Linked DNA regions of Lytechinus pictus. Each later gene encodes a partner of the first gene's protein in a complex. Links are inferred from orthologs where the notes say so. Each region holds a gene or a part of one and is shown on either strand. Other genes may lie near its edges. The genes, in order: ribonuclease H2 subunit B-like and ribonuclease H2 subunit A-like.

Region 1 (16,775 bases):
TCTTGGATTTGTCGTATCGGAAGGCTCTCACATCACCACTTCCTGAATAAAAATGACAGAATACACGTCTAATTGGCTCAAATTTAAGATGAGTTGGAATATGAGTGTTTTTTCAATAAGCTGGTCATGTTTGTGTAAACTTTTTTGCATGGTAAAAATGTATTATATTGCCCACTGATGATAATGATGCTGATAATGGTGACTATGCTAATGACAATGATGATGGTGATGAAAATGATGATGATAGCTTTTTAACTTCCAGGCAATATATGACTATCAGAATTTGAAGAAAAATAAAGGCACTTTAGTAATTTTGGGTATAGTAGCAAATGGAGGGTTTATTTCTCCCCTACATCACATTCACAATTAAATTAATTACCTGTGTGTAGCCTACATGAAATCCCAAAAGATACAATAATTACTATTTTTGCCAGTTCATTACTTTTGCTTAAAATAACTCGAAGTCATACTAACCTTTGACCTCCGCTACTCTTTCTATGTTGGACATGCCAGAGCAATGCAGCAACTTGATGCATTGTGGGTAATCATCATCAAGGACAATCTGGTCTAAGGTCATGTATTTATTCCTCTGCAGAACAAGGGAAGAAATGGTCAAACTCTTGTAAGCAACTATAAACAAACAAAACTAACATCTCTTGGCCCGATACATTTCATTTAAAGCGGGAGCAAACTGGCCAACACTATTTATAGTTTTTCATTGACTGTGTGTTATAAATAAATTACTTGTCTTAAAATACACCTTTTGAGAAAATTATTACAAATAAAGTGAATAAATTAGCTTATAACTTTATTTGCATAGAGAAACTAAATCATTTTTGAGAGGAAATGTACTTGTTTTGCTACTTGGCAACATAAATACCGTGGTATGAAAGTAAAGTACTGAATAGTGAAATAGCATCTTTCAAGTGGGCCTACATAACAAGACTACACAGCTCAGTTTGAGTAGTTGAGGTAGTGCTGCTGGTTTGTTTTTCCTTTAAGTTCCCTGAAATGGTCTTTGTTACAACGCAGGTTTGCACTGGTCAGAACCTCCCAACACTTAAAATAGCAATATCACATCCAACTGCCCACAAGGCGCTGATTTCCAAATCGTCAAAAACTTATATGAAAGGGACATTATTTTTAAATTTAGGCCCTGAGAACCGATTCATCCATTCAAAGGCATCTACAGGAATTTGACAAGAAAAAAAGTCTCAAGATTTTCCTACCCCTCACCCACTATCCGCAACTGGCATTGGGAATAATTTTTTTAATAAAATGAGAGACTAAAAATAGGTCTAAGATTGAAATATGACAAACCTCTTGATTTGATTTCACCAAGTATGGCAGAGCTAAAAATACCGGGTCAACAGGAGTTATGACTTCTAATGATCCATCTGTCAAAAAACAAACAAACACAATTGAAATAAAAAGCTTGAAAATTAGCATATTTTCTAGTGTACACTGCAATAAGTACCTGCATTGGAGACAAAAAATAAAATGAGCACTTGAAAGTTCAATCATTTGAAAGGGGTGAGCTTAAACACTATAAAACATTATTAAATCTTGAACTAAATTTGAAAAGTGGATATATTTTATTATTCCAATCGTCAAACTAGTACCTGTATGCTTTGCAATTTATATCAGCATCCTGAGCAAAAAGAGATGCAATCAAACAAAACTTACAAAATCAAATGCAGCTTGAATTCCAACCAATCGCAAGTCTGTAATTGGGATTGATTTCTTTTAAGTTGTATTTAAATGCAACTCTTTCTGCAACTGGGCCCTGGATCTAATACACAAAGCTAAGTGATTGATCTCAAAGATGACTTTCATGTTTGATTTCATTAATTCAATTCTTTTTTTTTTCAATTCTTTTTATTTCATTTCCATTCACAACATAATACAAAGTAATATAAAGTAATACAAATCAAGTACAATTTTACAGAAGGGCATTCTTACTTCGTAAAAAAACCCAGAAAAAAACAGTATAATATAGAGCATAAATGGAAATGAGGGGGATCCACTAAAAAGCAAAGCTTGTTAAGTGTGGATCCCCCTTGGAAATGAAAAAAGTATAGTAGACTTATTCTGATATGCGTACATATATGTATTACAGGAAAGAAAAAGAGAACAAAAGAAATCATACGGATGCAAATATAATTACTGAACTAATGCAAAGCTTTTCACACAAAGCTATTTAATAGCTATGCAGAATCAATTATACAATTCAACTATACATGTAGAATCTAGGCCCGTTTCGGGTACACGTGTACACGTGTACACGCACGGTCAAGTCAGTGCACGTGTACTAAATTCCATCACCGTGTACACGGTAGCATCTGCATAAAGCTTGCATGGGACTACAAAATCAGTGAACAAGCTCACAGCCTCACATTAAATCATAGTTCTCAGACACTGCACATATTCTAATTACTAATATGTCAATATATTTCAATTAATCTAGAGTGAGTTCACTTCCAAAATCGCCGATTTAATCCACATACATTCTGGAGACTCAAGTTTTTGTACCACGAAATGGGTCTGCTCCGCCTCCGGTCTCGAAAGTGTTGCTCAATCACACTCATAGCCAATTTGAGAATCACCAATTGCAACAGCGATCATTGCGACAACTTACGTGTTATACGCTCGTACACATGTGCTACAAGCCTACAAACAAACGCTCCTCAAATTGGCAACAAAATAATGAAAATCAATCGATAACTTCAGTTACACTTAATTCTGCAGCGATCTGTGCATGCACGTACGGTACAGTATACAAAATGCGCATCCAACGAGCGTCGGCGCTAGCAGGGCCCTGCACTGATTTTCTTTTGCATTCTTTATTAATTTAATGCGCTGCTAAGCTGAGTAAACTTTTAATTTGCACCAATTTTTGTGGATTGATACTTCAAACTTCTCTGGTAAGCTTTAAAACCGTGACTTAGGCTATATAGACCCCCTTTTTAATGACATGTTGATGCAGGTCCGTGTCGACATGAAAACAACTCGCTCTCAGAGTGTTTACAACGTGTACACGACCGAAAAACACGCCGTGTACACGTGCATCAAAAATGGACTTTCAAAACGGGCCTAGTAGAATCAATTGCTAAGATTTATGTAACAGGTTCTTGGGTCCTGTTTTATAAAGATTTGTCACAATAATAAATGCACCATTTAACAGGTTTACTTTCAGCCAATCAAATTGATGGATTGAATCAGTAGCTTTAAACTATTATTGCAAATTAATTATTTTTTATGAAACCGGCCCTTGGGCTTGAGGCTCTCAAGTTAACACCTGTAATCAATACACTTAGGATTGAATCATCATTCTTGAAATACTTCACCTTGTTGGACTGAATCATTAATGAACCATGATCCAAAGTCTCGTTTGAATCTCATCACCTCATAAACACCCGTTCCGTCACTGCTGAATAGAAACATCGCTCCATTCTCTGCAGGTGGAAAAAACATTATAAAGCCATTTCATAATCGGTGCTGAGAATGCCTAGAACTGCTTGTCCATGCTATTTTTAAGATCTTATTTGATTTTAAAAATTTTATTTATTATTATTTCATTTATATTCCACATTCACCACCATATAATACCAATATTTACATAGTACATAATAAGTACATGAAAACTGTCTATAGTAACCATCCTAGGGAAACACATATGCACTTGACTGCTATAGACAGGTTCTTAAACACAAAAATTGCCCCCAAGAAAATTTGTTTTAGAAGTCACTAAAAAAGGCAGGTGGCTGCTTTAGAGAGGTGGTCACTAATGCACTTTTGACTCACTGTATACTACCAGACAGATAATACAACAGTGAATAAGGATCTACCAAAAATCTAAGTTTGATTAATACAGACCCTTTACTTTAAATATTAAAATCAAGACAACATAAATAAACATTGTTTATCTTTAATATTAACCAATCAGACTTTAATTATTCTGGGAGAAAACTACCAAGACTAATACAAACAAGCAAGAATAATACAAAAATTCATATGAAAATAAATGGATCTCTCTGCTTGAATGGAAATATTTAACAGTTCGATGATCAGGCATAATATGGTGTAGCACCAGATGTTAAATATAAAGGCAGTGGTGCGTATATCAACTTAATGGTGCATAATGATGACCATTTCCCTATAAAATATGATTGTTTGAAGTGTTTTCCCTTATATATTCAGAATTCCCTTGTTTATTTTTGCGATTTAAAAAAAATGTTTGCTCGTAAAAGTCTGCAACAATACAAAGTCACAGAAATTCATGACAAATTTGCTCTTGACCAATGAAATTGCAGGAATTCTGCTTCATCACAGGAACTTGTCAATGAAAACATGCTTTAGGAAAGAAAAAAAAATACATGATAAATAAAAAGGTATTAAATATATACAATTTAATTTTTATACCTGTCTTAGGGTGCCTCAGCTTTACAAAAGTTGGATCTGGGCAACCATCAATACTATCAAGTGAAGATTCTGAAAGAATGGAAAGGGAAGGTAAAAAAAACACCAAATCATTAGTTTGTGTGAGAGGTTTTTCAGTATACTATCACAGCAATTTGATTATTTAAAATTAAATACATGTATGATATATCAATGAAACAGAAACATAGGGATGTCATATTGAAAATCTTGGCATTTCCAATTAGACATAAAACTACACAAAAGTAAAAACAGAAAATGGGGGCCTGTTGCATATTGAAAGTTTTTGTGTTAAGTGTCAATTGTGTAATTTTGTTTGCCAGAGTTTTTTATGGCAAAAGTTTTATGCAACAGGCCCAAGATCTTGGCTTCACGGCAAGACTACATTTAAAAAAAAAGAAGATAACTGACCACTTTGATATGTGCCTGTAATCCATTAAAAATTGACAGATTTGAGCTCTGGTCGGGTCTTTCAGATGGTGACGTTAAATGTTGTTCCCAGACTTAAATTATCCTATCAGATTGATTGATACATGTACAGCCAATATGGGAGACTCCAATGTGGGAGATAATCTCCCATATTAGAGACTTGCTTTGCAAAAGAACAAAAGAAACAACACCAACAAAAGCATAATTTTTTCCACCCAAAATTTTGTCTCACTAAGGTCAGAAGCCCATTTGTTTTGTGTGTGGATGACAACAAAAATCCTTATCAAAACAAAAGTAGACGGTGAAAAGAGGTAATTTTTCATGAGGAATCTGCTTATCACATTTTTATTTGCCGCCAAGGAAATCCTTTTGAAGCAAATGTAAACAAAGGAAATTGGTCTCCCAAACTGGAGACTGTCTCTGAAAATGGATAGCCCAATTCTTTACAAAAGTCTCTGATATTGGAGATAATCTCTCTCTCGGGAGACAGTCTCCAATATTGGCCATGTGCCTCTAGTGATGTATGGTAGTGGATTGTATTACCAGACACTTTTCATGAATTTAATCATATCAAATATATTATTCTCATAAAATTCACCAAACTTTTACCATAAATACAAAAATACCTACAAAATATAAACCTGTAAAAATTTTGCCGAAATCATTGTTATTTTTTACAATATCAGCTTCCCATCGGACCCCTCTTCGCATGTGAAATATTTTGGTCACTTGAAAATGGTATCGCATTACCGAAAGTGTGTTTTCTATGAGAACTTTGATAAAACAACAAAAGCACTGATGGGCTATTCTGAGAATATAGAGACTTTAAAAATGCATTTTTGACCATTTTTCATCATTTTAAAAATTCAAGTTCCCTTTGGAAAGATGTCGCAAAGTTTTAAGCGTTTGAAATTATTTTCAGATGCATATGATGCGCGTGTTTTTTTAATTAGATTCTACAGTGTATTTCCTTTTGTATACCCAGTCTCCAATAATGGGAGATATTTCCTGAATTGGAGACTTCTTTTTCTTCTCCCCCATCCGACCTCACTTTCTTCTGCACCAAGCGTCTTCTACTCACTAGTCTAGGCCTAGATCTATGGAAAGTTCCCCCCAGTCTGCGCAGTCCCCCTTGTCTGCGCACATGCGTATCTGCGCGATTCTAGTAAAAGAAGATACGCAAAGAACACAGACTTTACCCATGCAATACATAGACAGATATTCATTAAAAAATCTGACTCAAAATGGTGGAAAAATAATGAAGTTTGGGCATTTCATGTGACGGCCTCAAAATGCAGCCTTTCTCATCAAATTCCCCGAATCGTGTGCAAAGTGAATGGGTGCCAAGACATGGGGTACCATTTTCAATCTGAAAATGACAGCCTGAGGTTTTTTTCCAAGAAAATCCTATATTTCTTTCAAATTTTTATGAGATATTTGGTACACTTAATATTATAAGGAACATTATTAACTGAAAGATTTTGTGAAAGAAAAAGTAATTCATGTTAAATCTTAACTCAAATTGTTAGGTGCGAAGACTTGAAGGCCACCATTATACTATTCATTTTCCAGAATTCCTCCCTTAAAAAAAAAAAAGTCAAACAAAGTCAAAACAATGACTGACGTCAGATTGAGAATGACAATGACTGAATGAGTGAATGACATTGACAATGTTTTCTTCAGTAATATGCATGACTCTCCACCTCCTAGACCTAGTCTGTCAATGACAATGTTTTACTCTCGTCTCCTCCCTCTTTCTCCTTCTTTTTCTTCTCTTCCCTCCTTTTGTCTTCGTCATCATCGGCTTCAGCTTCGCGTCGACGTCAGGATCATTCAGAAACTCTTTTAGTCAGTGTCATGACACAATTACAAGCATGTGGGACTAAGCATCATGAAATTATCTGATTATGACAGAACAAAGTTGAAATTTCACTCTTACCTGGAGTAATACACACCCACTGATCCCTATCACATTTGGTACTCCCCTTTCCTTTCTGTTTCTTTGACTTTGGTGCCATGATTTATTAATCTAACCTTAACTGAGATTTATTTCTGCAAAAAGAACTAACTTTTTCAAGTTTTTGTCAACTCCTCGTTCGCGATCGCGGGTCGAGCAAATGTGGCGCGCCGTTTCTAACTTTTCGTTGAACCTCAATTCCAGGTTAATGATTGGATTTCAAATAAAAGTTTTAGTCATGTCATCAATCGTTGTTGAATTTCCAAAGTTACGAGAGCTGTTAAAAATAAAAATCACAAGATTTTATGAATGCCAGGGACTGCATTATAATTTGTATTTACGGAATAGGATTATATAACAAAGAATGATATGAATACATTTGTTTCTATTACTTTCCAAAGTTAGCATAGATAACCCCAATATTGCTGAAAATATATTGTCACGGTTGTTATTTCACGTGACGACCCCTCGCCTCGGCTGCTTTTGTGGTATATCTTTGCATTTGTGTCCAATTTGCATTAAGCTATGAGCCGACTCGACTGATGTTGTGAAGTTTGAAGATGCTATCCGCGGCTAGCTGAAAAGGAAACTCAAAACTTTTGACTTTTGTCCACTAATAAACTAAAAATCTTCGTTCAGGATCAAGTAAGGATGGAAAACAACGATCAGAATCATGATGAAAATGCACCGCTGCTGAGTGGACGACCGGACAGGAATCAAATTCAGGATGATGATGAGGATGTGGAACTCTCAGGCTGTGGAGCCACAGTTTGTTGTGATCCGAGACGGGCCCTGCATAGATACCTCATTCTTATTTTTATTTGTTTCTTAAGTTTTGGTAAGGATAGACTGAGGCAATATATCTTTATCTTCATTCTAGGGTGACTGTCATTAAAATGAGCTGAGAAAGTCTTAACTGATATTCCGTCAACTTACATTGTAGTTTAAGTTTAACGTTGTTTTTTTTTAAAGAAGTTAAGGAGCTAATTATTAGAGCCTGGTGCTGGACTCTGCTGGAGTTGGAGAGTAAAACTAAACAATTCTCTAGACTAAGCCTAAGGTGAGGTTAGCCTACTCTCCAACTCTAAGAGTTGCCTGGCACTGCACTGTTTGTGTCAATGGCACATTAAAAAAATAATTGCATGTAGACTTGTACTTGTAGTCGATCTTAAACAAGGTTTGGAAAACCATTTCCTGCATCCTGCCTCCACTCTATATAGAATGGATAAAATCATGAAAAATAATACTTGGAAAAAAAACAGTAATGTTTTGACAAAATGATTATCGTCAAATCCTATGATTTTTTAAAGGAACTATATTTATAAGAAAAATCACTTATGGTTTTAAAACGCAACTGTTGTCATAGAAAATTCCAATCACCGTCCAGACAATTGAAAACCTTTCTTTAGCCTAGGACTAGGAGTTGGTGAGTGATCAGACCATTGACATGACAAAAACATTCCAATTTTTAACATCAAAATGCATTTTTTATCTGAATAATGATGGGTAAAGAAAGATTGATTGATTCAGCTTAGGCCTATATTTTGGATTGAGTCATAAAGTTTTCGAACTTATCCAAGCTAGGAAGACAACAAGCTAGGAAGACAACAAGATAGGAAGACAACAAGATAGACCTGGAAACTTGACTGCAGGAACAACTGTATTTTTCCAGTAGATGCGGTATAAAGGTATAAAGGTATAAACATGCATAAGAAACAGCTGAGCAAAAACATGCTAACTAAAAGAAGTATATAGCGGCAGCGATTGCATGAATGGCCTGCACGTCTATAGCCTCTTTGAGGTGTTCAAGTGCAGTATTTACAAGACAAGACAACATGTTCATGTGTTGGGTAATAAATGTTGGTTCGTCACCATTTTTGTGAATTGATCCCAGAGGCCAGAATTGACCTTTGAATTGATGAAAGGATTTTAGTTGACATTTTTTTAATCTTACAAATTTCCAAGTCTTAATTCTCTCAATTTCTTAGGTATTGTGAATGTGGTATCAAAAATTTAATTCATTCACATCACAAATCTCTTCATTCATGTTTTTAATAGAAAAGCTGCATATTTGGTCTATATAAGAATATTTTTGTCCACTAAAACTATTGTAAGGTTGAGAAAATTATATGTTTGGAGGTAGAAAATAAATGAAGTTCTAAATCAAACTCAATCAATCATGCTGAAGGGGGAATAAGTGAAACAGACGCAAAATGAAGAGAACTTAAACCGAAGGAGTCTGGTTGTACACTTTTTAATATCTGGGCTATTTTGCCTCAGCTTAACTTTGGATCACAGAATAATTTACATAAATATTTAAATTAGAAATAGCAACCAATCAAACTAAAGAAAATGGAAGGATCGAACTAAAATGTAAGAACCCAATTCATAAGATAAACCAATAAGGAATGAGATGAGATGACAAAGATGTCTGGTGATTATGTAATAATGGAAGTAGAAACTAAGGAGTCAGGTGAGGGATGGAATGAGTGGAACACCTGAAGAGAGAATAGAGAAGGAATGAAGATGACAAGAGAAACACAGGAAAGGCATTCAGAGTAGAATGAATGAATGACAACTGAATATCATTAAACTCAAATAACCTAAGTCCAGACTGCAAGGGCAGTACTGAAAAGAAATGCAAATGAACTAAAGTCTAGACAGAACAGAAATGTAAAACACCTGAAGAAAACACAAGTCAAAGGAAATAAACAAAATAGGTAAATGACAAATTAACAATCCTACATAAACTTTCTCCTTCCAAAAAATTGTCCTCAATTTTCAAAAAGTAAAATTATATATAAAATAAAGCTGCAAAACCAGAATTTGACAAGTTGAACATCTAACATTATTTACATAAAAGAATTTAAAAAGAAGTAACGTAACCATGACATAATTCAATTTTATAATAAATGTGAAGACCAGGAGAGGATGGAAAAATAAAAAAAAAATATATATATTTTATCAGAATTTTGAACTTTTCCTTTTTGGCATCATATGAGTAACTTCAGTGGAAAATGAACATGCAAATAATTTCAATGTATATCTTATACTTGCATGCCATGAAATTAAATACCGTATCAATTAGAAAAAAACAAAAAACTGAAAATTTTTGTCTTGATTTCCGAAAAGAAAAAAAAATGTTATAATCTTGAATATATATATACATTTTTTTCAAATTATTAAAGATTTGTTTTTGTTAAATTTATGCATGTCTTGCCAACTGGAAAAATGTATCTCCTGGACTTACAAAAAAAATGAAAAACTTATGAGAGCACCACTAGACAAATAGATAAAAACAATTATGGTAGCTCAAAGGAATATTGAACATTGAAAAGTGCAAGACAAAATACTACTGAACTTTACAAAAATTTAACATATGACGTTCAGCAAATAACTTAATTACCAGAAATTATGAAAAATCAAACATTTGAATTTATATAAAGCCATATTTTCTGAAATTATATGACAAAGTATATCTGTGAAAATCTTTGACTTTACTTTAAAAAAGACATTAAACTAGGGGTATCAAAAATCTAGGAATTTTAACTGAATGTTGGAAAAAGAAATTACTGAGTAATACAAATAAAAAAGACTTATTTTGTATAATTTGTAAAATTACAATGATGAAACTTCAATAGTAAAAAATAAGAAATGATTTAAATTGAACATTGAACTAAGTCTGACTTTGTGCAATATAATTGATAAAACTTTAATAAATATACAGTGATTAAAATTGAAATAGTTTTGAGCATTAAGGTATACAAATAAAATATTTCAAAAATTTAGTTGTCATAATCTTTAGTTTTACGATTTCATATATTGCACTTAGTTCACATTATTTTCAGATTTAGAGATTTGTTAGTGTTCTCACCATCAGGGAAATAAATTGTCCAAAAGTTCCAAATAAAGTTTGAGTTTGAGAGAAGAATGTAGTCTGGTGGTAAAATGGAGACATCAAGATCAAGTTGTTGAATATCGGACCTTCTTAGGGGGCGAAAAGTTTTCACTGTATGTATGAAGACCAGGGGAACAGCATCATCCACTCATGGGCTGGAGCAACTGAAGAGCAAAAGGTGGCGGCTGGCTTCGAAGATCAAAGCAGAGCGTCATCAACTCTAGATGCGTAGGCGACAGAGTAACAGGCGAGAGGCTGGAAGGAGTCGTGCATCGAGCGAAGATAGAGGGACAAAGCAACATGAAGACCAAAATGCAGCATCATCCACTCGACGAAGAGAAGCAAGGCGAGAGGCTGGAAAGCATCATGAGGCAAAGGTGGGAGACTGTTGAGCCCGAAGAGACTGAATGAAGAAACATAGGCAGCGACATCATCCACTCCATGTAGTCGGGCAATGGTTGTAGTTAAAGGCAAGAGGCTGACTCGCAGGCAGAACTTTCATCTACTCACGTTGAGAAAAAGGCGAAGGTTGGCTGGTAATCAGGCAGAACGTTCATCCACTCACGAAGAGCAATAGGCGAAGATCCGAGCTGGTACTCAGGCAAGGCTTTCACCCACTCACGTATAGAGCTAAAGGCGAAGACTGGCTGGTAGTAGCATCATCCTACTAGACAAGCCACAGCATTGACGTTGAAGTTGTAGGCGAGCTGCTGGCTAGCATCAATCAGGCAAGAAGTAACGGCTGAACTGAAGTACATGTATGAAGGGCTAAATGTTTCTCCAACAGGAACATGAGGACGATAAAGTTGACGAAATATGATTGAAAGTTTGTGGCGAACAGATAAGCGAGGCATAAGGTTCGAAACACCGCTGCTACCAGTTGTAAGGTTGAGAAAATTATATGTTTGGAGGTAGAAAATAAATGAAGTTCTAAATCAAACTCAATCAATCATGCTGAAGGGGGAATAAGTGAAACAGACGCAAAATGAAGAGAACTTAAACCGAAGGAGTCTGGTTGTACACTTTTTAATATCTGGGCTATTTTGCCTCAGCTTAACTTTGGATCACAGAATAATTTACATAAATATTTAAATTAGAAATAGCAACCAATCAAACTAAAGAAAATGGAAGGATCGAACTAAAATGTAAGAACCCAATTCATAAGATAAACCAATAAGGAATGAGATGAGATGACAAAGATGTCTGGTGATTATGTAATAATGGAAGTAGAAACTAAGGAGTCAGGTGAGGGATGGAATGAGTGGAACACCTGAAGAGAGAATAGAGAAGGAATGAAGATGACAAGAGAAACACAGGAAAGGCATTCAGAGTAGAATGAATGAATGACAACTGAATATCATTAAACTCAAATAACCTAAGTCCAGACTGCAAGGGCAGTACTGAAAAGAAATGCAAATGAACTAAAGTCTAGACAGAACAGAAATGTAAAACACCTGAAGAAAACACAAGTCAAAGGAAATAAACAAAATAGGTAAATGACAAATTAACAATCCTACATAAATGGTGTGTGAGAACTTTGAAGAATTTCTGTAGTTTTTTCATAGATTGATCATGGAAGCAATTATGACTGCCCACATACATGTATATACACTATGGCCACATTTTTTTAACATGAATAACTTTAGTATACAGGGGGAGTAGAGACTTAATTTTGATCTCATTTCAAAACTTGAAGTGAGTAAACTTATAATAATCTAACACTGTTTTCAATTAATTGTAATTAGCGATTAATAGTTAAGAAAACCCCAAAATTCCTTACATAAAAAGCACAAAAAATTCTCGCATAGGAACAATTTATGATGTGATTTTTTTCGGCTGATTGAAGATGTATTATTATGAAATTGGTGTCATTTGAAAGCTGAGTATAAGCTGTATAAAGAGTGATAGTATAAGTTTATATGCATATCAATTTGAGTCATTTTGCTCGATATAATGACTAAAATGGGTTCTTGAGGGATAGTGGAAGCAGTACACATTACATGCAACTCTATGGTATTGTGTATTGCTAGTATTAAACATGTGTAATTTTGGTTTCCAAGGGGCGAGACCTTTGATTTTGGTCTCAGATTACAGCTAAATATAACAGATATTATAATACACCTCCGCACACATCACACAATAATTATGGTAGTTAATTATGATTTTAAGGTAAAAACTGATTAAAAATGTCTGTATTTGATATTTGAAATTAACATAAATTTGCATATCAAAATTACCTTGATGAAATAATTGAATCCCCTTAAGATATATATCATATGAAAGGGAATTTTATGGGCAATACAAATCTGATACCGTAACTAATTAATGGTATGGGCAAAGAGAAAACAAATATGGATGTCTGAAATAAAGTACATTTGGGGTGCTAAAAAATTGAACATTTTCGCTCATAAAATGTGAGCAGTTCATCCTACCTCATTTTAAATGCCATTTTTGGAATACTTTTTCAAAAAAGTATACTTTGTATGGATATGGTGAATATTTTCAAAGCTATGACCATGTTTATACCATAAGTGTGCTCTCATTAGATTTGGGCGATGTTACACAAATGGGGCGTGTTCAAGAAATGGTTTCACCCTTTGAAGTGTGAATTGGTTTTGAACCTGACATTATGATTTATTGCTTTTTCTATTTATGTAGTAGTTACTCATTGAGGTGATTAATAGCTATTTGGTTTCATGTATCATATCTCATTAATTTTAACCAATAATGCCTAGTTTCTACTTACTGTGTAAGAATTTATTTAGTGTACACATTTGTTCATTAGGATCTTTTGGTTTATATCTCACCATAAAAATTTAATTGAATTTGAATCCTCTTTCTGTCACATGTGCATTTACATGTATTTGAATTAAATATTGGGAAAGATAGCTTTCAATATACTGGCAAATTTCAATCACTTATTTTTATAGGGTAGCTGGTCAAAATTCTTTCTGTAAAAACCATTAGGGCCTACATGTAAGGATCATCTTTATTGTAATTTGCTGTATATCGTACATCATTCAAATCTGAAAATCTCTTAAGAATATTTATCATCAAATAAAATGTAATGATGAATTTCTGAATATATTTTACTGGTTTTGTAATACTTAGTCACAAATACATTTTTACATGTTTTTTAGAAGAAACTATTTAAATTAATCACCTGAAAATACTAGATACCGGTGCTCAATTTCCATTTTTATCTACCGTATTTGTTTTCTTATCAGGGAGCTATTTTTGCTATGACAATCCATCCGCTCTTCAAGATCAAATTAAACAGGTAAGTTTTCCTTTTAATAAGGCACTTATTTGAAAGTTTTTCCAGCTGGAATCCTACTCATTGTCTGAAGCTGCTGTGAAAATAATGAAATGTGAACATTGACTTCTTCTGTTAAGATGTCTAAAGGAATATTGTTATCTTTCTTTGGTCATGTCTTTCAGAAGAAATCCCACTCGGCCTCTTTTCCCGTTTAGCCCTCCCATAATGCGGAATGTACATGTAGGAGATCCAGTATTAAGACTTGGTTTACAATGGGAATAGTGAGCATATGAAATCACCAGCACAATTCATCAATACAAAAGTTCAAAATTTTCCCAGACGAAGCATGTCAATTATTCTGTGAAACATGCACGATGCAATGCTTAAATGTATGAATAAAAAAAGTTTCTGATTGGTTCTACATGCAGAAAGAAATCATTGACTTTGAATTGAAATTGATCACTCTGCCCTCATAACTCGTTTATATTTTTCGATCTCTTTTCAGCATTTTATTTTTAATGCGTGAATGCTCCTGCCATTATATTTGTTGGTCATGTGATCTTTCTTGATCTTATTGTCATTTGAACCCAGTCATTTCCTTGAATGTATCTCTTCCTGTAATCCATACACCTGCTTCCTGCTATTGCTATTTGTGATTATTCACTTTTGGTGACAAGGAAATATAGATATATTTCTCCAGAAATTCTTTATGGAATGTGAAATGAGTACATGTACTTGGCAGGTGTTCATAATGATACAGTTCAACCTTGTCTGTTAAGTACTAGTAATACATTTTTGCTAAGTTATGTATTTCCTGATCCAAGGAAATCATAGATTATTCTTTTATTGGCAATGATATAAACAATGCCTCCATTTTTTGCTGATTTACAAAATGATGAAATAATCAATAGGTTTGTTAATGAAAACTCTCTTTGATTTGTTTTTTTAATGGGTTTAATATAAGACGGACACAAGTATTGTATGGGTTTGCGTGTATGCAGATATGGAAGAAAATTATCTTGTCTCATAGAAGAACTCATCCATGCTCTCTGATATTCATCACAGTCATATAGCCATGCAATATTCTAGAAGTGCTATTTGCAGAGTATTCTGATGGAGTCATTTTCCTTTTTTTTTTCCTGGAAAGCAGAGATTATTGTTCAAATGCTGAAGTAAATCATATATTTCTAATCAGAATTTTATGAGATACCGGTACTGTGATGTTAATAATTTGCATGTGTTTATTTATTGTGGTTAAGAGGAAGGGGGTGTGGGGGGGGGGGGGTGATGAACGACAAATTTGTTTTGGTTTCTAATTTACGACTGAAAATACTGTTTCATACAGAAATGTATTAGCTTTATTAAACACTTTTGTGTTGGCAGGTTATGCACAAAGACACAGCCAGTTTCATGCTGCTTTACTCTCTGTACTCGTGGCCAAATGTTATTCTCTGTTTCTTTGGAGGCTTCCTCTTGGACAGAGTCTTTGGTGTCAGGTGAGTAGTGGATGGATGGATGGATTAGTGGATGGAAGGATAGATTGATGGATGGATGGATGGATGGGTGGATGGATGGATTAGTGGATGGAAGGATAGATTGATGGATGGATGGATGGGTGGATAGATTGATGGAAGGAAGGATGGATGGATGGATGGGTGGATGGATGGATGGATAGATGGATGGATGGATGGATGGAAGGAAGGATGGATGGATGGATGGATGGATGGGTGGGTGGATGGATAGATGGATGGATGGATGGATGGATGGATGGAAGGATGGATTAATGGATTGATTGATCGATGAAAGGAAGGGGATTAGTGGATAGATCTATAGATGGAAGGATGAGCAAATGAATGCTGGATGAAAGAAAGAAACAATGCAATGAATTAAAAACAATGAATGTTTCAAAACTAAAACTTCAGTGAAAGAATGAACGAGTGAATGATTTAATGAATAGCAAAATTGAGTGATGTGGAATTGCAGCATACTTCATTAAACTGATATCAGAAAATGATGTACCGATAATCAATCAAGGTCTGAAACTGCTACAATGTCAATGATAGAATGTTATGTATGAATTGATAAAGGATTTAGTGTTATGATTAAAGGATGAATACGTGATTGAATTAAATAAATTGGAATGAATGACTAAATTAATTTCTGTAAAAGTGAGGTATTGAAGGAATCTATTAAAATCAGGGATATGGTGAAATTAAAATGTTTAAATGTCAATTATTGAACAATATTCTGTTGTGATACTGTTGTAAGTCCCCAAGATAAACATGATGATGTTATTTTCAATTATGTTTTTTTTTAGAAAGTCAAAAAGGGGCCTAAGCTTTCGATCCTAGCAGAATCTTTGTCGGAGGCAAAATGACAAACATATAAGGTGGAACAACCATAATATAGACCACAAACAAGCTACAGCAACACTAGAAACAAGGAGACAAAAGGGGCATTACTAATGCCCCCTTTGTCTCCTTGTTTCTAGTGTTGCTGTAGCTTGTTTGTGGTCTATATTATGGTTGTTCCACTTTATATGTTTGTCATTATGCCTCCGACGAAGATTCTGCTAGGGTCGAAAGCTTAGGCCCCTTTTTGACTTTCTAATTTACTCCATTGGCTCTCTTTTATTAGATAAGCAGTTTTCAGCAGCTTCTTTTTGCCATGTTTTTTTTTATATTAAACTTGTGAATTGAATTATTTCATTTTTATAGAGTTGGCACCCTTATCTTTGGTGCTTTTGTCCTTATTGGGCAATGTATCTTCGCTCTTGGGGCAACACTCAACAACTA
Region 2 (16,775 bases), on another chromosome or scaffold:
CGAAGCGGTTCAAGGGTCAGGCCTATCGTATTTGCTTTGTTGACAAACGGATCAAGGGATCTACATGAAATCGGTCTGGTAAGAAACCTCTCATTTTTGCCATTCATAGTGAAATAATTTTTATCCCTTCATACGCATTAGGCATTTGGAGGTTCAAAGATCAATTAAATTCACACTTATAAACCGATTTCACCCGGTGAATATGGATTTCCTAGGGAAATCCATCCGGGTGTGGAGGTCTCGCTTATGCATGTATGGAAAGAGTTTCAAGGCTCCATGATGAAGAAGTATATGTCAAAATATTAAAAAATATCATCATGGAGTCCTCAAGGCTAGAGATGATTGTAGTCTCACGATCATGTCAGAAATTGTTATTCCTGTCTACATGGTCTACAAATGAGATCTAATTATAATCTACATGTACATACTGTCGCCCTTGAGTCAATGTTTAGATCTAGTAATTAAAGTTACAGCTAACTGAGCTAAGATCATCTTGCTGTGAAATATAACTTTTACAGAATAATCCGGGTTTTAAAAAATCAATCTAGTTAGTGATTGTATTACCGAACACGCGCACCATACGCGTCAGAAAATGATTTCATACGCTCAAAACTTTGCAAAGGGTTTGCAATATCCTTCCAAAAGACCAAAGGTTTTCATGAGAATAATGTGTTTGATATGATGTTTAACATACTCAATAACTTAGCCCCTGCATACATAATCAATAGATTTTCCCTTAAAGAAAGATCACATAACACAAGAAGTGGGAATCTCAATTTGGAAATAATGCAAATAAAGACTGAATCTGCAAAGTGCATGTTTATGTACAGAGGCGCCAGTATGTGGAACTCATTGCCCACAAATATTCAAGTGGCACAAACGAAACACAATTTCAAGGCAGGTCTTAAGAGATTATCTTTGTAATGTGGATCACAATGACTATTATTCTGTTTAATTGTTTTTATCAAACATCAACAGACAATTTATATTAACTGTTCCCAGTACATGTATTATTTTCCAATCATTTCATATGTTTTGCTTTATATATGGCAAGCTTCAGTATTAACCAAGTTTTTAATGCTTTATAATTATGTTCAGTGCATGTTTAGTTATCATAAATTTTCCAGTCATTTTTATGTGTTAAGCTTTAAACGATAAATCATGTATTCATTTTCTTGTGCTCGATTGTCCATTTTAGAAACATGAATTTACTTTGACATTTTACTTTTTCATGTTCACATTTACTATTACCATCTATGCACTGCTTTGTTCGAATTACCGATAGATATTTCATGTTGTATGTTATTGACGTTTTTGAGAATGGTATTTCTTCGTCTTCTTCTTATTATCATTATTATTCTTTTTTCTTCTTCTGTTATCTTCTCCATTGTCTTTTTCTTCTCCTTCTCCCTTTTCATTCTTCCTCTTCCTTTTTTCTTCTCCTTTCAATGATTCCTTTGTAATATTTCATTGATGCTTCTGTTTAGGTTAACATATTTTGTTCATATATATTGTTCGTTAAACACTGGTTTTAAAATGTTTACTATGTCAACTATATATTATATTCCACACGGCCCCAATGGAAATCAGTCTGTGAACTGTTTCGGCTTTTTACAGTAGAGGCGCACGGCCAATATGGGAGACTCTCTCCAATAGGGGAGACAATCTCCCACATTGGAGACTTGCTTTGCAAAAGGACAAAAGAAACAACACCAACAAAAGTATGATTTTTTCCACCCAAAATTTTGTCTCACTGAGGTCAGAAGCCCATTTGTTTTGTGTGTGATTGACAACAAAATTCCTTAACAAAATAAAAGTAGACGGTGAATTTTTAAAGTAGACGGTGAAAAGGGGTAATTTTTCATGAGGAATCTGCTTATCACATTTTTATTTGCCGCCAAGGTAATCCTTTTGCAGCAAATGTAAACAAAGGAAATTGGACTCCAAAACTGGAGACTGTCTCTGAAATTGGATACCCAAATTCTTTACAAAAGTCTCTGATATTGGACATAATCTCCCACATTGGAGACAGTCTCCAAATATTGGCCGTGCGCCTCTAGTCTCTACTGTTTTAAGCGTGTATAATACACTATAAATAAAATCAATGAATCTTATCTTATCTTATTCATGAAAAGTGTTTGGTAATACAATCAACTACCATAGTTCATGACCATGCATACCATATCTATTCCGACTTTGCCTAAGCCAAAGGCTTAGGGCCAAGGCTTTAGTTAGTTTGGGCCTGAGGTCTGACTTAGCCTGGAGGCATCTGGGGAGTGAAAGACTTATACTGTACGTATGGTCACTCCCCTAACGCCTGGCACTGTGTCCTATACTATCCTACACACCGAGGGAAAATGCAACTATAGAAATGCGCTAAAGAGGTGGGCCGATAACATAAATAATAATACACTCGCTATACACATATAAACTTCACACCGGGAGAAAGCCTTACCTTATTCTTGTATTCTATCCAGGCACTCTTATAACAGGTCCGCTACGACCGGGGGTTGGGTATGGAATGATGAATGGCGTGTGTAGTGTGTGTGCTGGGTATGTGTGTTGTACAGCTGACTGGTCTTGTGTTTGTTCCTCCCGCCGATGGGTCATGTGATGTTGTGTGCTTAATTACTACTAATCCCCTAACACCATACTTCCCCCCACCCTAAAAAAATTGGGTGGCCCATTTTCTATATAACTTAGCATAACTTGACATACTTAACATAAGGTAACCCTAAACATAAAACCATAAAATATACATCAACGTACATTTGTTTTTCCTTTTTTTTTTTTGATCATATCTTTTTCTTTCCTTTTTTCGTATTCTTTGATCTTTTTTCTTTCTTTTCTTCTTTTGTTTTCTTTTTCTTTTCTCCTTCATTTTTTTTGTCTGTGATCTTTTTTCTTTTTCTTTTCTTCTGTAATCTTTTTATTTTCTTTTGAGATCTTTTTTTTTCTTTTCTTTGTGATCTTTTTTCTTTTCTTATTTTTTCTTATTTGTTCATGACATAGATATAACATAAATACATCAATATATACATTGTACATCACTATCAATCATAAAACATATTCTTACCTTGTCTCTGCCTTGTTTATGTATCTAAGTAAAAAAGTAAGCAAATATTTAAATCGATACATACATACATATATATATATTATTACTTATCTGATCTAATTTTCCAATTTCAACAAAAAGCATAACTCAATAAGAATTGTAAATCATAGGCGTCTATTTTCCGTATTACATATATAAAGCATAATAAACACATATAAAATACAACTTTTGTATATAAAATAAATAGCCTTACAATGAAGGTAAAAGACAGAGACAGGTGCGAGGGAGTAGCATTGCCCCATTATTTGAGGCAATAGAGCTCCCTTGCTTTAATCTGCCATAACCAGGATCGATACTGAATTCAAGATGGACACATTCCAAGGGGGCGCTCTCATGAAAACGTTTCATAGGATGCCTCCCAGAACGGGTCGCTTTCTTGTTTTACAAGTTGCACACCTGGCTATATGCAGATGAGTGTCTTCCGACATGCCGTATCGGTATATTACTGAGAGCTACCGATCCCAGCATGCCCTGCTGAAGGAGGATCATGACTAAGCTGGATGATGTAATGTCGTAGTGATTCAGAAATCATCATGACCTCACGCTCATCCTTCTCCATCAAGATGACTCCTTCTCTGTAATGGTAGAAGAGTTCCCTGTTTGTCCACAAAAAACTTTCCCTCTGGCGGGAGGAGAAACAGAGTCTCTTCAGCCGGCTCTTTCTTGTATGTTAACCACCTGCAGGGGGGCTCGAGGAATTGGTTCCGCATGATCTTGACTAAATCGTCAGAAGGCGGCTCCTCTGCCACCTCAGCTGGGTCAACTATTCGGATCTCAAATGAATTGGCTTTGTTGAAGGATGTTTCCATGCACATTACAGGAAAAGATTCAACAGCCTCATTTGGGACCCTTTGTCTTTGACTTAATGGCACATCTTTGTCTAATCAATCGACAAGGTGTACCAATCTATTTCTTTTTAAGTAGAAACCTTCTCAACTCCTGTTCCCCTGGGGCCAGCCCCTCAATAGAGCGGCTCCAGGGATCCAGAAGATGAAGAGTATAGACCTGATTCATGAGTATCCACAATGGGACATATTCTGAGGGTTCTACGTCAGGTCCTACAATCAAGACTTATAAGCCTTCCCAATCATATCACCTTGTTTTATGGATCTTCTCTTTGTATGATTGGTAGGTCTTCACCATTCATAGTTAAGATAGCATTTGGGATGCTAATATTGGCATTGTGTTTTCGTAACAAGTCAACGCCAAACAACATCTCATCTGCTATCGGAGCTACATAAATCTTCTCGCTGAGTATTTGGGCACCCAGCTTGATATTGATAGGCCCTACCACCATGCCGTCCATTGTCATGTCTCGGCCAGCCCCCTTAAGGATTACACGCTTAAGGATGGGCGGCCGAGGCTGGAGGCGTTTGAATAGCCTATCTGATATAATGGTGACAGCTGCCGCAGTGTCCAAAACAGATGTAATGGGCTCTTTGCCAACTGTCAACCCAACACTCAATGTTGAAGTAGACATAATTCTACAAATGACTACTTCAATATCTTGATCTTTAACCTCACCAGGAATGTCTGGTGGCCATGGTGGATTCCTCCAAGGAACACCTATTACCTCAGAGAATTTTGGGCTCCCTGGACTTGCTTGTGAGTCCGGTGCCCGTGAGCTACCATGGTCTTGTGGCATGAGGCTGTCCTTTAATGGAATGGAGATGGTGGGGATCTGTAATCGGATCGGGGATTCCCCATCTCCTCCGATCCCTGTCCATTTCCCTCCTCCTCGAAGGTGACAGCCCTAAGTTGTCTGTTCTGAGCAGGCGATCTCCCTCTGGGGCAGGCCCTACTGAAATGGCCTTCTTCCCCACAGTTGAAGCAGCCTGCGAAGTTTCGCTGCCGATCGGTTGGTGGAAGGCCCGAAGATGGTCTTCTGCCTCCTTCTGACCGATCCGGCGTTCTATTAGAGGTATACCTCGGCCTGTCTGATGTACCCGGAGCTCGGCCGGAGGTATATTTTGGTCTTTCAGGTGTGACAGGGGCACGGCCGGAGGAGTAACTCGGCTGGCCTCTTGACACCGACAAAAGTTCTTTAGTACTCCGAGACAGATCCGTGATTGCAGCAACCATCGAATCCATCTTGGAGGCCCACATTGCATTCTGAGCCTCCAGAGCACTGATTCTAGCCTCAAGGCTAGAATTTCCTTTGGTGGCAGCTTCCGGAGGAGACGACTCTTGTACCCTGAGGTCATTCTTATCTTCTCCTACAGAGAGCTGCCTTACTTCGTTTCTCAGCCTAGGGCCATGCTTCTGCATGGTCTTCTGGGTAAACTGAAACCATTTGTACTTGGTCATGGCTTCATCTAATGTCCCAGGCCGAGAAGTCAGGACATGATGCCCTGCATCTTTGTCTTGGGCACCTTGGCAGAACCTTGCCACTACAAGTTCTTGGACGAACTTGTCAGGTAGGCCTACGAAGGCCTGACCTGCAAGGGTCATAAGCCTATCTGCCCATTTGATGATGTCTTCATCCGAGCTTTGAAAAGCCGATTGAAATTGCATCCTAGTAACTTCCGGCTCCTCCTGGAGAGCGAACCGCTTCTCCAACTTGGTAACCAAGTCAGAGAAGGCGATATTTGGATTGCTCTCCTGGATGAGGGCCATGAACTTACTGGCTTCGGCCTCCAACGCCAGACACAGCTGATATTTCTTGTCTGCATCAGACATGCCATGTCTTTCGGTGTAAAGTTGGAACTTTGAATAGAAGGCCGCCCAACTTCCCTTGCCGTCGAACGAAATGGTCTTCGGCAAAGAGGTTGGTCTAGAAGGGGGCCTTCTGTCGTCATACTCTGGTACCACAGGTCTTGAGGCCGAAGTAAGTCTGGTGACGCGGGGCGGCTGATTTCTTATTGGCAGCCCCAAGTATCCAGGACTTGCTGATGGCCTTGTGGTGTTTCTATTTCCACTGTATACTGGGCCTCCATGTCCATCTCTTTGGGGTCCAGCGCCTTGATACACAGGGTTGCTACCCCCATGTTGCAAGTCACATGGTCCTTGGGGAGAGGTTTGCGGGGCCACAGTGTTAGGGTAGTGTGGCGGATATCTGCCTCCAGCCCATGGTGGGCAATACCCACCGTAGGCGGCAGCAGGGTTGCAGTATGGAGGAGCTGGTTGTCCAATTCCTCCGAATGGCATCATCTGCATCATCCTAAACATCACGCCATACATTTCATCATACTGTGCTTGCGAGAAGTTTGGAGCGGCCTGTGGAAAGCTATGTGGAGGTGTCTGGGTAGTTTGGTTGGTCATTGCTGGTCGGCCACCCTGAGTACCGGGAGCCTGACCATGCAAATCTACTTGGGCATGAGGACCAAATTGGAACTGGGGTCCTGCTGGGGTAGCTACCTGGGCACGAGGACCGCATTGGAACTGGGGTCCTGGTGGGGTAACTTGGTGGGGACCCTGCGGTGGGAACAGGCCATCGTTCCATCCTGAAAATTGATTTGCCCAGAGGGACTTAGCCCTATCTTCTGGAGAGGCCGAAGGCTGCTGAGTAAAAGCGCCACCTGGCCTCCCCCCTGTGAAAAATAAGGGGGCCTCCCCGTCCTGTGTCTGAGAAGACTGGCCTACAGCACCCCGAGTGCTATGTGCACGGGTGTGCTGTGGCCAAGCCTCAAACGCCTGGCTCACGGGGGGCTCCTTTGATGGAATTATTGGAACGCTCGTAGAAGGCTCGTCTCCTTCAGAGCGCACTTCTCTGCGGTCCACATTATGAGCCGTTGTTGTTGGCTCATAGTCAAAGGCGTAAACTAATAGTTCCGCCTTCGGTATGTGAGGTATTGACATGAATGTATCCGGAGTAAGGTCAGCCGCCTCCCTCGCGTGTAGAATGCGGTTGGCGGTGGCCATACCCACTCCGGGCAGACTCATCAATTCCTCAGACGAACAAAAGTTGATTTTGATTCTTGGAATGTTGCTCGCCATCTTGATGTAGAAATTAATCAGTAACAAAAATTAAATTCCAAAATTGAACTGTAATTAACCAAAAATTATCCTGAAGACTTTGTCTTGCGGATAAAATCAAAATAAATCTGGGACAAAATTAACTTTTTGAAAAAAAATGAAAAAGAATTAACAGAACTAACCTCACAATATCCTGAGAATGTAATCAAATTAAAATCCAGAGGCTACCTTGCCTAAAAAATAAAATTCCTAATTCTTAGGAGAGAAAAGAAAAAATGCAAACAATCGAACGCTCACTTGTTCAAAGAAAGATATGAAAAATATATAGAAATAATTTCAAATAAATAAATTCTTATTATTTATTTATTTTTTTTCTGTTTTTTGAACAAAAGTTAATATTTACAAGTACAATTTATCTAAATATATACAAAATTTATTTAATTATACAATTTATAATTAATTGATTGAATATGAATTTAATACAAATGTCAGCAGCACAGCTCACAGCATTCACTCAACGGCAGCACCAGCAACAAAATATATTATACAACAGCAGCAGCAACAATTCAATTACACAACGGCAGCAGCAATAAAACAACAAAATATTCAATACAGCAGCAGCAGCAACAATACAACAGCACAGCAACAGCAGCAAAATATTCAATACAGCAGCAGCAGCAACAACAAACTAATTAATACAAGACTGAATTTCCTTATCTCCTGAGACGCGTGACCAAAAATAATAAATTCCTAATAATTAACAGCAGCAGCAGCAGCAGCAGCAAATTTCTGGTGTTTTCTCCAAAAAACACCCAGAAATATATTTACTACAAAAAAATACTAACAGCAGCAGCAGCAGCAGCAGCAGCGCGGCGGTCAAAGGAGAAAAGCAAATTCAGGCTTGTAATAAAATAATCAACTCACAACATCAATAATATTCAGCAATCCATTCACACCACATCAGTAAACACAGTCAAACGCAATCAAAATTTCATCAAAGTTAATCACACTCGGTGGCCACAAAAATATATCCTAACGAGGGAAATTTTAAATATATGGTCAACAAAATGAGTGGATATTTACCCTAACAGTACAACGTATAATGTTTTGTCCAAAAAAATCCGATTAGCTCCTGTCGAGCTAGCCGCTGAATTCCTTCAAGGCCAGCACGGCAGTGCCGATCGGTAAAAAAATAGAGTATATTTACGGAACTAAAAATCAAACTTTTTCCACCAAAAAATTAAATCTCAAACTAAGATAATATGTTACTTTTTGTTTTATTTAATATTATGGACGAAACAGAGTCAAACAGCTCAAATTAATAAAAAGCCTAAAATTTTCAAGATGGCGGCGGCTTTTTTATATTCGGCCACGGCCAACGCAGATTCTGCAACGGCGTTGGCTGTGGCGAAGTAAAGAAAATGTTTTGCCGAAAATACAATAAAAATCGCTTTAATCCTCGTCGCCAGTAAAGAGGTGGGCCGATAACATAAATAATAATACACTCGCTATACACATATAAACTTCACACCGGGAGAAAGCCTTACCTTATTCTTGTATTCTATCCAGGCACTCTTATAACAGGTCCGCTACGACCGGGGGTTGGGTATGGAATGATGAATGGCGTGTGTAGTGTGTGTGCTGGGTATGTGTGTTGTACAGCTGACTGGTCTTGTGTTTGTTCCTCCCGCCGATGGGTCATGTGATGTTGTGTGCTTAATTACTACTAATCCCCTAACACCTAAAACCAAACTGCTAGTTATGTTTAGATTCTAGCTTTAAAACTTATGTACATGGGTAAAAATATTGGTTGGCAACGTTTGGCAAAAAATAAGTGTTGATGGATTTGAAATGACAAATAAATTAATATGAATAAGAAAAGTAGAAGAGAGTTCACTTACACTTGTTGACATCGCCATCTTTGAATCCTTTTAATTGCAACCTAGTTACGTGACGCGTATAGAGGGCGGCAAAATCATGAGCGGTGCTAGATTAAAAAGTGCTAAAATGTCCCGCTTCAACCACTGAACTAGAAATACATAGAGAAAACATATTGCATTTTGCCTTCTACGGCGCGGCGCGTTCTCGAACAATTGACCTAGCAAAATGGCGGCGGTCATGTGACTTATCGAGTTCGCCAGCGATGTTTTGCTTAGGTGTACACGGCTTCCACGTATTTCTAGTTCAGTGGTTGAAGCGGGACATTTTAGCACTTTTTAATCTAGCACCGCTCATGATTTTGCCGCCCTCTATACGCGTCACGTAACTAGGTTGCAATTAAAAGGATTCAAAGATGGCGATGTCAACAAGTGTAAGTGAACTCTCTTCTACTTTTCTTATTCATATTAATTTATTCGTCATTTCAAATCCATCAACACTTATTTTTTGCCAAACGTTGCCAACCAATATTTTTACCCATGTACATAAGTTTTAATTTTAAAGCTAGAATCTAAACATAACTAGCAGTTTGGCGCATTTCTATAGTTGCATTTTCCCTCGGTGTGTAGGATAGTATAGGACACAGTGCCAGGCGTTAGGGGAGTGACCATACGTACAGTATAAGTCTTTCACTCCCCAGACGCCTCCAGGCTAGTCTGACTGTCACTGAGCAGCCGTGTGAGGTTAGCGCCAGTCTACCGGCCTGGGCCGGGGTAAGTGCGCCGTGGCGTACCGTAGGGTACTTACCAAGCACGGGACCTCTGCCAGCTTCGTCGATTCCAAAACAACAAGGCTCATCTTTGCAAATCTGGGGTATTTCAGATTGAATAAAGGCATTTCCACTATTGTTCTTATCAAACTCCGTCAGATCTATAACAGCAGCTGTATCTTGACTCTCCATAGGAATTTCGGAAGTGTCGTTTTGTTCCTCCATAATTACTCAATTATTTAACTTTGCCGCGCGCTTTAGCTCTGCTCTAGCTCTGTTTCCGGTTTGAAAAAGTCAATGCACTTTGCATTGATGAGGGATAGGTGGTAAGTGGGGAGGGATATGGGGAGGGGAGATATTTCACCTTTGGATTAAGCTGATTTAAGTGAATAGAAAAATAACAATGATGACATTTTTAAAACATGCAGAAAAAACATATAACATAAAAAGCGAGTTTGTCAATTTCATCCGGGCCCGGCATCCGGGTTCAGGTTTTAAAAAATACATTGCATGATTTTATTCGAATTTATGAGGGTGGGTTGGGAAGGAGGGGACCTCAAGGACAAAGATTTATTTTATAATTTTTTTGCGTGTGGGATGTGTGCGGGTGTGTTTATTTTCTTTTTTCTTTTGTATCATATTATTTCAGTGAATTGGAAAATGAATAGTTCATGAAGTACTTACTGGTACCTTGCCCGGTATTATTCGTGAAGTTATTATGATGTATCATAAATTTTAGGAAGTTATGAAACTTATGAAGTCAGTTTATGTTTGTATTCAATGGAAGAAGCAATAAAAGAATACTTTAAAACAAAAATCTGCTTCCCAGTGTGATAATTTGTCCATATTTTGTTTGTACTATTGTGAAGCAAAGTACATGTACAAATCATAAGGGCGCCATCTTGTGAAAATTCTATTCATTGCTGAAAAATCTCGACGAACGCATCATTTATTTACTTATCCCTTCAGAATGGTCACTGATTTGCAGAGGGATGGGCTTTTTTTTTGGGGGGGGGGGGTCTCATATTGATTTTTTAAATGAATAAAAGAAAACTAGTTTTTGAGTAAAAAAAAAACCACCAAAAAACGCAAACATTCTGCACAAAGTGGAGTGTGTCAAAAATTAATCTTTACAAAAATTATATAGTGATAAAAAATCTTTGTATATCAAACAAAATACTTTGTTGCAAACTCCAAAAGACAAATAAAAAAAAACATAAAATTAAACAAAGGGTGATAAACAAAATAATCTCAAAATCGCAATATTCTTTTCCTCAGACTAAAAAGTGTTTTCTGACGGTATTTTGTTGTATAAAATCATGTTTAGACATAAATGCAACAAGGTGTTTGAGGGGGAGGGTAAGCCAACCATAGAGATGTATACTAATTAGTATACATCTAATTAGTATATATCTCTATGAAGCCAACCTGAATATGAAGTACGTCATTCAAATTGAGTAACATGCAGGGGCAACAAGGACTTATACGACCAAGCTCTCTTTTTCTTACATTTCTTCATCTTTTCTTTTCTTTTTTTTTTTTGTTCGCCTTTTTAATCACTACTTGAAAAATCACACACCTACCCTTTAAGAGTGCCACTCCTTTTTCAAAGCATATTAATAATGAACTGAACCTTTGGTTAGGTAAAAAAAATGCATTGATTTTTAAAGTGCGAGAGAGCGAAACGACGGGGGCGCAAATAGATCTTAATCATTATAATTTTCTGGGAGGTGTTTCATCAATATTTGTCGTATATAGGACAACTTGTCGTATATAGGACAGGAGGTCATAATCTGACGACTGTCTTTGCATTATGACATGTGTCCGATTGTTACTATGGTAACTGCCAGATAACGACAAAGCACACACATTTATTTTTAAATAAAATTCAGTGAGCTCATCATGCTCGTTCGTCTGACTTAGGTTGAAATATTTTTTAACCTCTAAAAATAGCACTTGGGAAAAGGTTATTGTTTTACTTCAAGTGAAAATTGTCAAGTTTTTCTTACCATGGTTCATGATTTGCATTTTGCAGTTATTTTACATGAATATAACAAGTACTTCATATTTTTATTTATCACAAGGCAATTTCAAATGATTTCAAAAGATGGCTATGATGTATATTGTTCTGAATATTTACATTTATCTAAAAATTCCACCAAAATATTCTTTGATAAACGTTAGTCATTGAATATATCTCTAGAAATCCCATAAAAATAGGTGACATGCACAGAAAAGAAATATCACCATTGAATAACAAGGGAAATGAGAAAAAATTAGTTAGTCTATACCTATCATTATAATCAATGTTATTGATATTATCACAATTTTCTTTAAATTTTTGTCACTCATTCATTGTCACTTTTTGATATTTTGTATAGTGATTTTAGATTGTCTCCCGTCACCCTTAATTGTATACTAACTTGTAATTGTTTGTACGTTTTCAAACTAAGTTACAGGGGCTTGCCTCCCCTAATTAGCATGGCTTATTTTTGGCAAGCCCCTCCATTCTTTTTCTTTTACTGAATAAGTTCACCTCAGTTCCCGCTTTCATTTCTATTCTTTAATGTACTATCACGATAGATAATACTTTACTCTGTGACATTGAGTGATTTTAATATTAAAAAACGTTAATTTTTGCTCATTTCTATTTGTTCCGTTCATATTCACACCCCATAATGCAAGTCAGACAACAGAATAGCCAATCTATCTATCTATCTATATATATATCCATCCATCCATCCATCCATCCATCCATCCATCCATCCATCCATCCATCCATCCATCCATCCATCCATCCATCCATCCATCCATCCATCCATCCATCCATCCATCCATCCATCCATCCATCCATCCATCCATCCATCTATCTATCTATCTATCTATCTATCTATCTATCTATCTATCTATCTATCTATCTATCTATCTATCTATCTATCTATCTATCTATCTATCTATCTATCTATCTATATATCTATCTATCTATCTATCTATCTATCTATCTATCTATCTATCTGTCTGTCTGTCTGTCTGCCTCCAATAAGGGTATGTTTCACGACATAGGCCTATCTTTTGGATACATTTTCCTTGATTCTTTTTTGTGTTTTATTCTAAACGGACTTTCTAGACTGAATCTTACAGCGGAAACCGTGATATAGTATTTAAAAATAATTTATTTCAAAGCAGCGGGGAATAATAATCAAACTGTGACGGATCCAGCTAGGGGCACATCCGACCAGTAACCCCCCCCCCCTCTCCTTGAGAGACATAAACATATTTTTTAGGGGAATATGTCGTGCAAACGCAAGTGAGGACCTTTTTTATTTTAATCTTATTTTGTGTTTTTTTTTTGCTTGTCAACTTTTTCCTGGAACAAAATGACCTCCATTTTGTAGTGAAAACCTCCTTTTTTTGTTCATTTTTTTCCTGACATAAATAATCATTGATTAGAAGTAAAGATTTTTTTCTTTTTTTTGGAGGGGGGGGGGGGGGAGGGTGGGGTTGTTCATAACGAAATCCTATATCTGCCCCTGTAATCAAAGTATTGTTATTATTATTTTACACAAAGATGGATTGGGATATGTGAAATAAGCAAGACTATAACTGTCTATACAACATTAAATACTCATTTTTAGTCAAGTTTATCCATTATTGCTTTTTGTTAACTTCTCGAATATTGTCAGTGATTTTGCTAAAAAATATATGAAAAATTAGATTTCTCAATGTAGGAAACAAATTCTTTTTATTTTGGGATTTAGTTACAATATGGCACTTAATGAGCTATATGTTTTTTCTGTTGTTTCCCAGTATCAACAAGTTTCTGCTTTTGATTGATCGAAAAATTAATCATGATTTTTTTTTTGCATAAAATAATGTATGCGAGTTTGTGCGCGGAATCCAAGTAGCACTAAAATATATATTTTATAGGCATAACTGCATCAGACTGAAATAGCCTAGTACAAAAGAACAAAAATAAGGTTATTGATATGTGTATATAGGTATCAAAGAGAATCACTTCCTCCCCCCCCCCCCCGCCTCCCTCCTCCCCCCTCCACCGAGTCCCGCCCTGGCATATCTCTGCATGCCCTTTGGTTCTGTACCAATATCTTAGTGGTGGTGGTTGTGGTGGTGCTGGTGCATGGCCTCATTATTTCGCTTTATCTTAATCAAAATTACTTTTGCATTGAATCTATCGATCTGTCACCAATAAGTTTGGCTATTTTACATTTTGGGGGCTGAATTTCGCCTGTACTTACAGACTGTTGTCATGAATTTTAACGTTAGGGCTTGTTCGATGTGATGATCAGCGGTAATTCCTCTAAATATATAAAATTGTTACATTGCACAATGCACATATCAAAACCCCGGATAAAAAAAACATGATTTAGACTCGGCTGAGAAAAAATACGAATCGTCGACTATCCCTTTAAATTTTTAACTAGTCTTTATACCCAGTTGTTTGTTACTCAAAAATACTTTAAGATGCTGCAGTATGTACGAGTACTACTGATCCATAAATACATACGACTTGAAAGCAACTAAGCAATTATGTCGGCTTCGGGTAGAGTCCTCCTGTAAAACAGTGGTGTTCTTTTGAGAGAAACAAGCATGATTATCGAGTTTCAGAACTGTTTTCTTAGGCGAGAGGAATGTATATCCATTGACATTGACACTTATTATTGGTAAGTTGCATTTTGGTGTCGATTTTTCCCGAATTGATGTCGAAAATACGTTACAAATGAGCCCGTACATTTTCGTGAGTCTATGCGCTCTCTGCATTTTTGCATGCAATTTGTACACGGCTTCTGAAGGCGAAGGGCACCGCTCGACACAGGCCCATGTCACGTCCGTGCTGCTGTTGTACGCGGTATAGTCGGCTTGATGCTGACTCGCCTACCCGGCCGAAGCCTGCGGCTTGTTTGGAGTTGGTCGTTCGCCACGTCTGTACTCGATTCGACAGCCAAAAACTTTGTATTTACATTACATTGCCTGTGTCTTAAAATTGTGGAGTCTACACTGCAGTGCAGACTGCAGTGTCATTGTGCATGCCTGGTGTGGTGTAGTTCGAGTTTAATTAAAATTCATGAACTCTCCAGGCATAGACCAGGCCAGGACAGGTCCAGACTGATCTTTCCAAGCCAGGTCTGTCAGTGTCACGTCTGTCTCTTGTGTCGGCGTGTCGCCCATCTTAGTTTATGATATGCGTATGCTGGATATTTCTGCAGTTTACGATAAATAAATAAAATTTGTTAAATGGCTTTTAAATAAATTTCATGAGATATCACATATTCAATATTATATATCGCTAATCAGAATCGCAATGCATTATGGCCTGGGATTGCAAAGCCAAAGGAGGCCGTTAGCTAGGTCTGCGGACTGTCCGCTAGTGCGTGTGTGCAACGGCCCCCTTTTCAATCCCATAATGCATTGCAGTTCTGATTAACGATAAACCTTAATCTTATTTCATAAACAAAGATGTTGTTTACTTACTAACTTAGTTAATTGGTCGAATAAAATGTGTTTGCAGGTAATTTATTGAAAATGCGTCTCACATGGCGCATAATAATAAATGGGCGATACGAAAGACAGTTCTTGCAAAGACCCTTTCATGCAATCAGTCCCTGAATGACTCCAGCCAGCGTCATGGAACTCCTCTAATGTTACTTTTGTTAGAGCCATAGATAGAGGTCAAGGACATAGTGTGACAATCCATAATTTTTTACTGAAACGTTTTGAAAGAAAACTGATGTAAAACAAAATTTTGTGTTATTATTTATGTCAAATCTTTTCTTCATAACAATATCTGGAAGCATGTTCCATCTGATCAAATCTTGATTCTGCGACCCCTTTTTTTCAATGAAAAAAATTGAATGGATCCATTCTGTCCAATGCAAGGCCTGGATGCTGTTTTGAAGAATTTTCTTCTTTGTTTGTAAGAGGCTACCCCAAGCACAGTATTCAACCTTGAAAATAGCAATTGGCATTACCATCCTAGTATCAAGTATATCCCCTGGGCTGTTATGAATGTTCATACAGGCAGTTTTATGATTGTCAAGATTGACTTTTACTTCATGTCTCATTAACCAAATTAGTAAGAATCTGTGACTATGGCAGAGCTACATGTAATTCGTCTTCTTTGAATACAAAGGAATCAAACACAAGAATACATGTGCTGTATGATGTGGCCAATGTAAGATTTGTCAATAATGAATCTCCGTGCTGACTTTGCCCTTTTTTGCATTGTAGGCCTACCATTGTTTCAAACTCCTATTAAAAGTCGAAGACAAGAAATGTACATGTATGTATGTAGTTGTTGTTTTTGTCACAATGGCAGTGCTTTATTCAGTTAGCTAGTTGTAAAGTGTACATGTAAATTGTATTTTATTTTTTCATATTTCAAGCAGAGCTTGTGTAGTGATTGGCAAACCTGCGTGACTGCCAATCTAAAATTGAAAATAGATTTACAATGTAAGTAATTCTTGTCATGGGTAAATATATTTAGGCAGGGCGTGACAAAACCACTTGCCCGCTTGCCCGGGGCAAGTGAAAATGACGTGCGGGCAAGCATTTCTCAAAGTCAATTGCCCGATTGGGCAAGTGGTTGTTTTGAAAATGAAAACGATATTACAGTAAATTTCAATAATTTTTCGATAAATTGCAATTATCGGCCAAATATCTCTCATACAAAATGTCATACCAGTCAAAAAAACAGTGGAAACATGTCAAATCAGCGCCAATTTACCGACAATTTATCGCCAACGGTCCTGTTCGATGGGGGCTGCCATCTTACTTTCTAAACTTTACTGTGCGCATGCGCTACTAATTGACGAAGGAGCTAGCTGGGGAAACCCCTCTCTTGCCCTCTTAGCGCATGCTCTACATCGGCGCTACAGTACATGTACGTACGTACACGAGCGATCGCGAGCCAGCTGACTCTCGAGCTATATCGCGCTGAATGCATGCAAGCTTCGGACTGACTCGGCCAGGACTCGGCTTCAACTTCAAACCAAATTAACAATGAGTCGTCAGACTAAAAAATGGGCGACTTTTGTCGTCGCGATCGGCGACCAGAACAACTTGAACAAGAGTCAAGAAAAT

What was found.
Region 2: the proteins of ribonuclease H2 subunit B-like (region 1) and ribonuclease H2 subunit A-like are in contact, whole or in part, in a crystal structure (PDB 3PUF), measured with the Homo sapiens proteins. The link is inferred for Lytechinus pictus from reciprocal best matches to the Homo sapiens genes RNASEH2B and RNASEH2A. Residues at the interface, in NP_078846.2 of Homo sapiens: His16, Phe18, Lys39, Asn42, Gly48, Ala49, Ile50, Val63, Lys64, Val65, Phe66, Lys67, His70, Phe74, Val79, His86, Phe87, Val183, Tyr211, Gly214, Leu215, Asp218, Tyr219; in NP_006388.2 of Homo sapiens: Val227, Phe228, Ile253, Trp254, Glu255, Ser284, His285, Tyr287, Phe288, Arg291, Gly292, Leu293, Glu294, Ser295, Ala296, Thr297, Ser298, Leu299.

The regions. Positions count from the first base shown.
Region 1 is NC_087260.1:28,500,608-28,517,382, reverse strand, and holds the start of ribonuclease H2 subunit B-like, read right to left. Parts: upstream 7,002-16,775; 5' UTR 6,885-7,001; coding exon 6,806-6,884; intron 4,492-6,805; coding exon 4,423-4,491; intron 3,456-4,422; coding exon 3,348-3,455; intron 1,398-3,347; coding exon 1,321-1,397; intron 590-1,320; coding exon 475-589; intron 43-474; coding exon 1-42. Other genes in the region: major facilitator superfamily domain-containing protein 1-like, read left to right, coding at 7,475-7,661, 13,949-14,001, 15,364-15,476, 16,698-16,775. UniProt on the Homo sapiens protein: Non catalytic subunit of RNase H2, an endonuclease that specifically degrades the RNA of RNA:DNA hybrids. Participates in DNA replication, possibly by mediating the removal of lagging-strand Okazaki fragment RNA primers during DNA replication.
Region 2 is NC_087256.1:17,234,428-17,251,202, forward strand, and holds the start of ribonuclease H2 subunit A-like, read right to left. Parts: upstream 9,954-16,775; 5' UTR 9,903-9,953; coding exon 9,716-9,902; intron 1-9,715. UniProt on the Homo sapiens protein: Catalytic subunit of RNase HII, an endonuclease that specifically degrades the RNA of RNA:DNA hybrids. Participates in DNA replication, possibly by mediating the removal of lagging-strand Okazaki fragment RNA primers during DNA replication.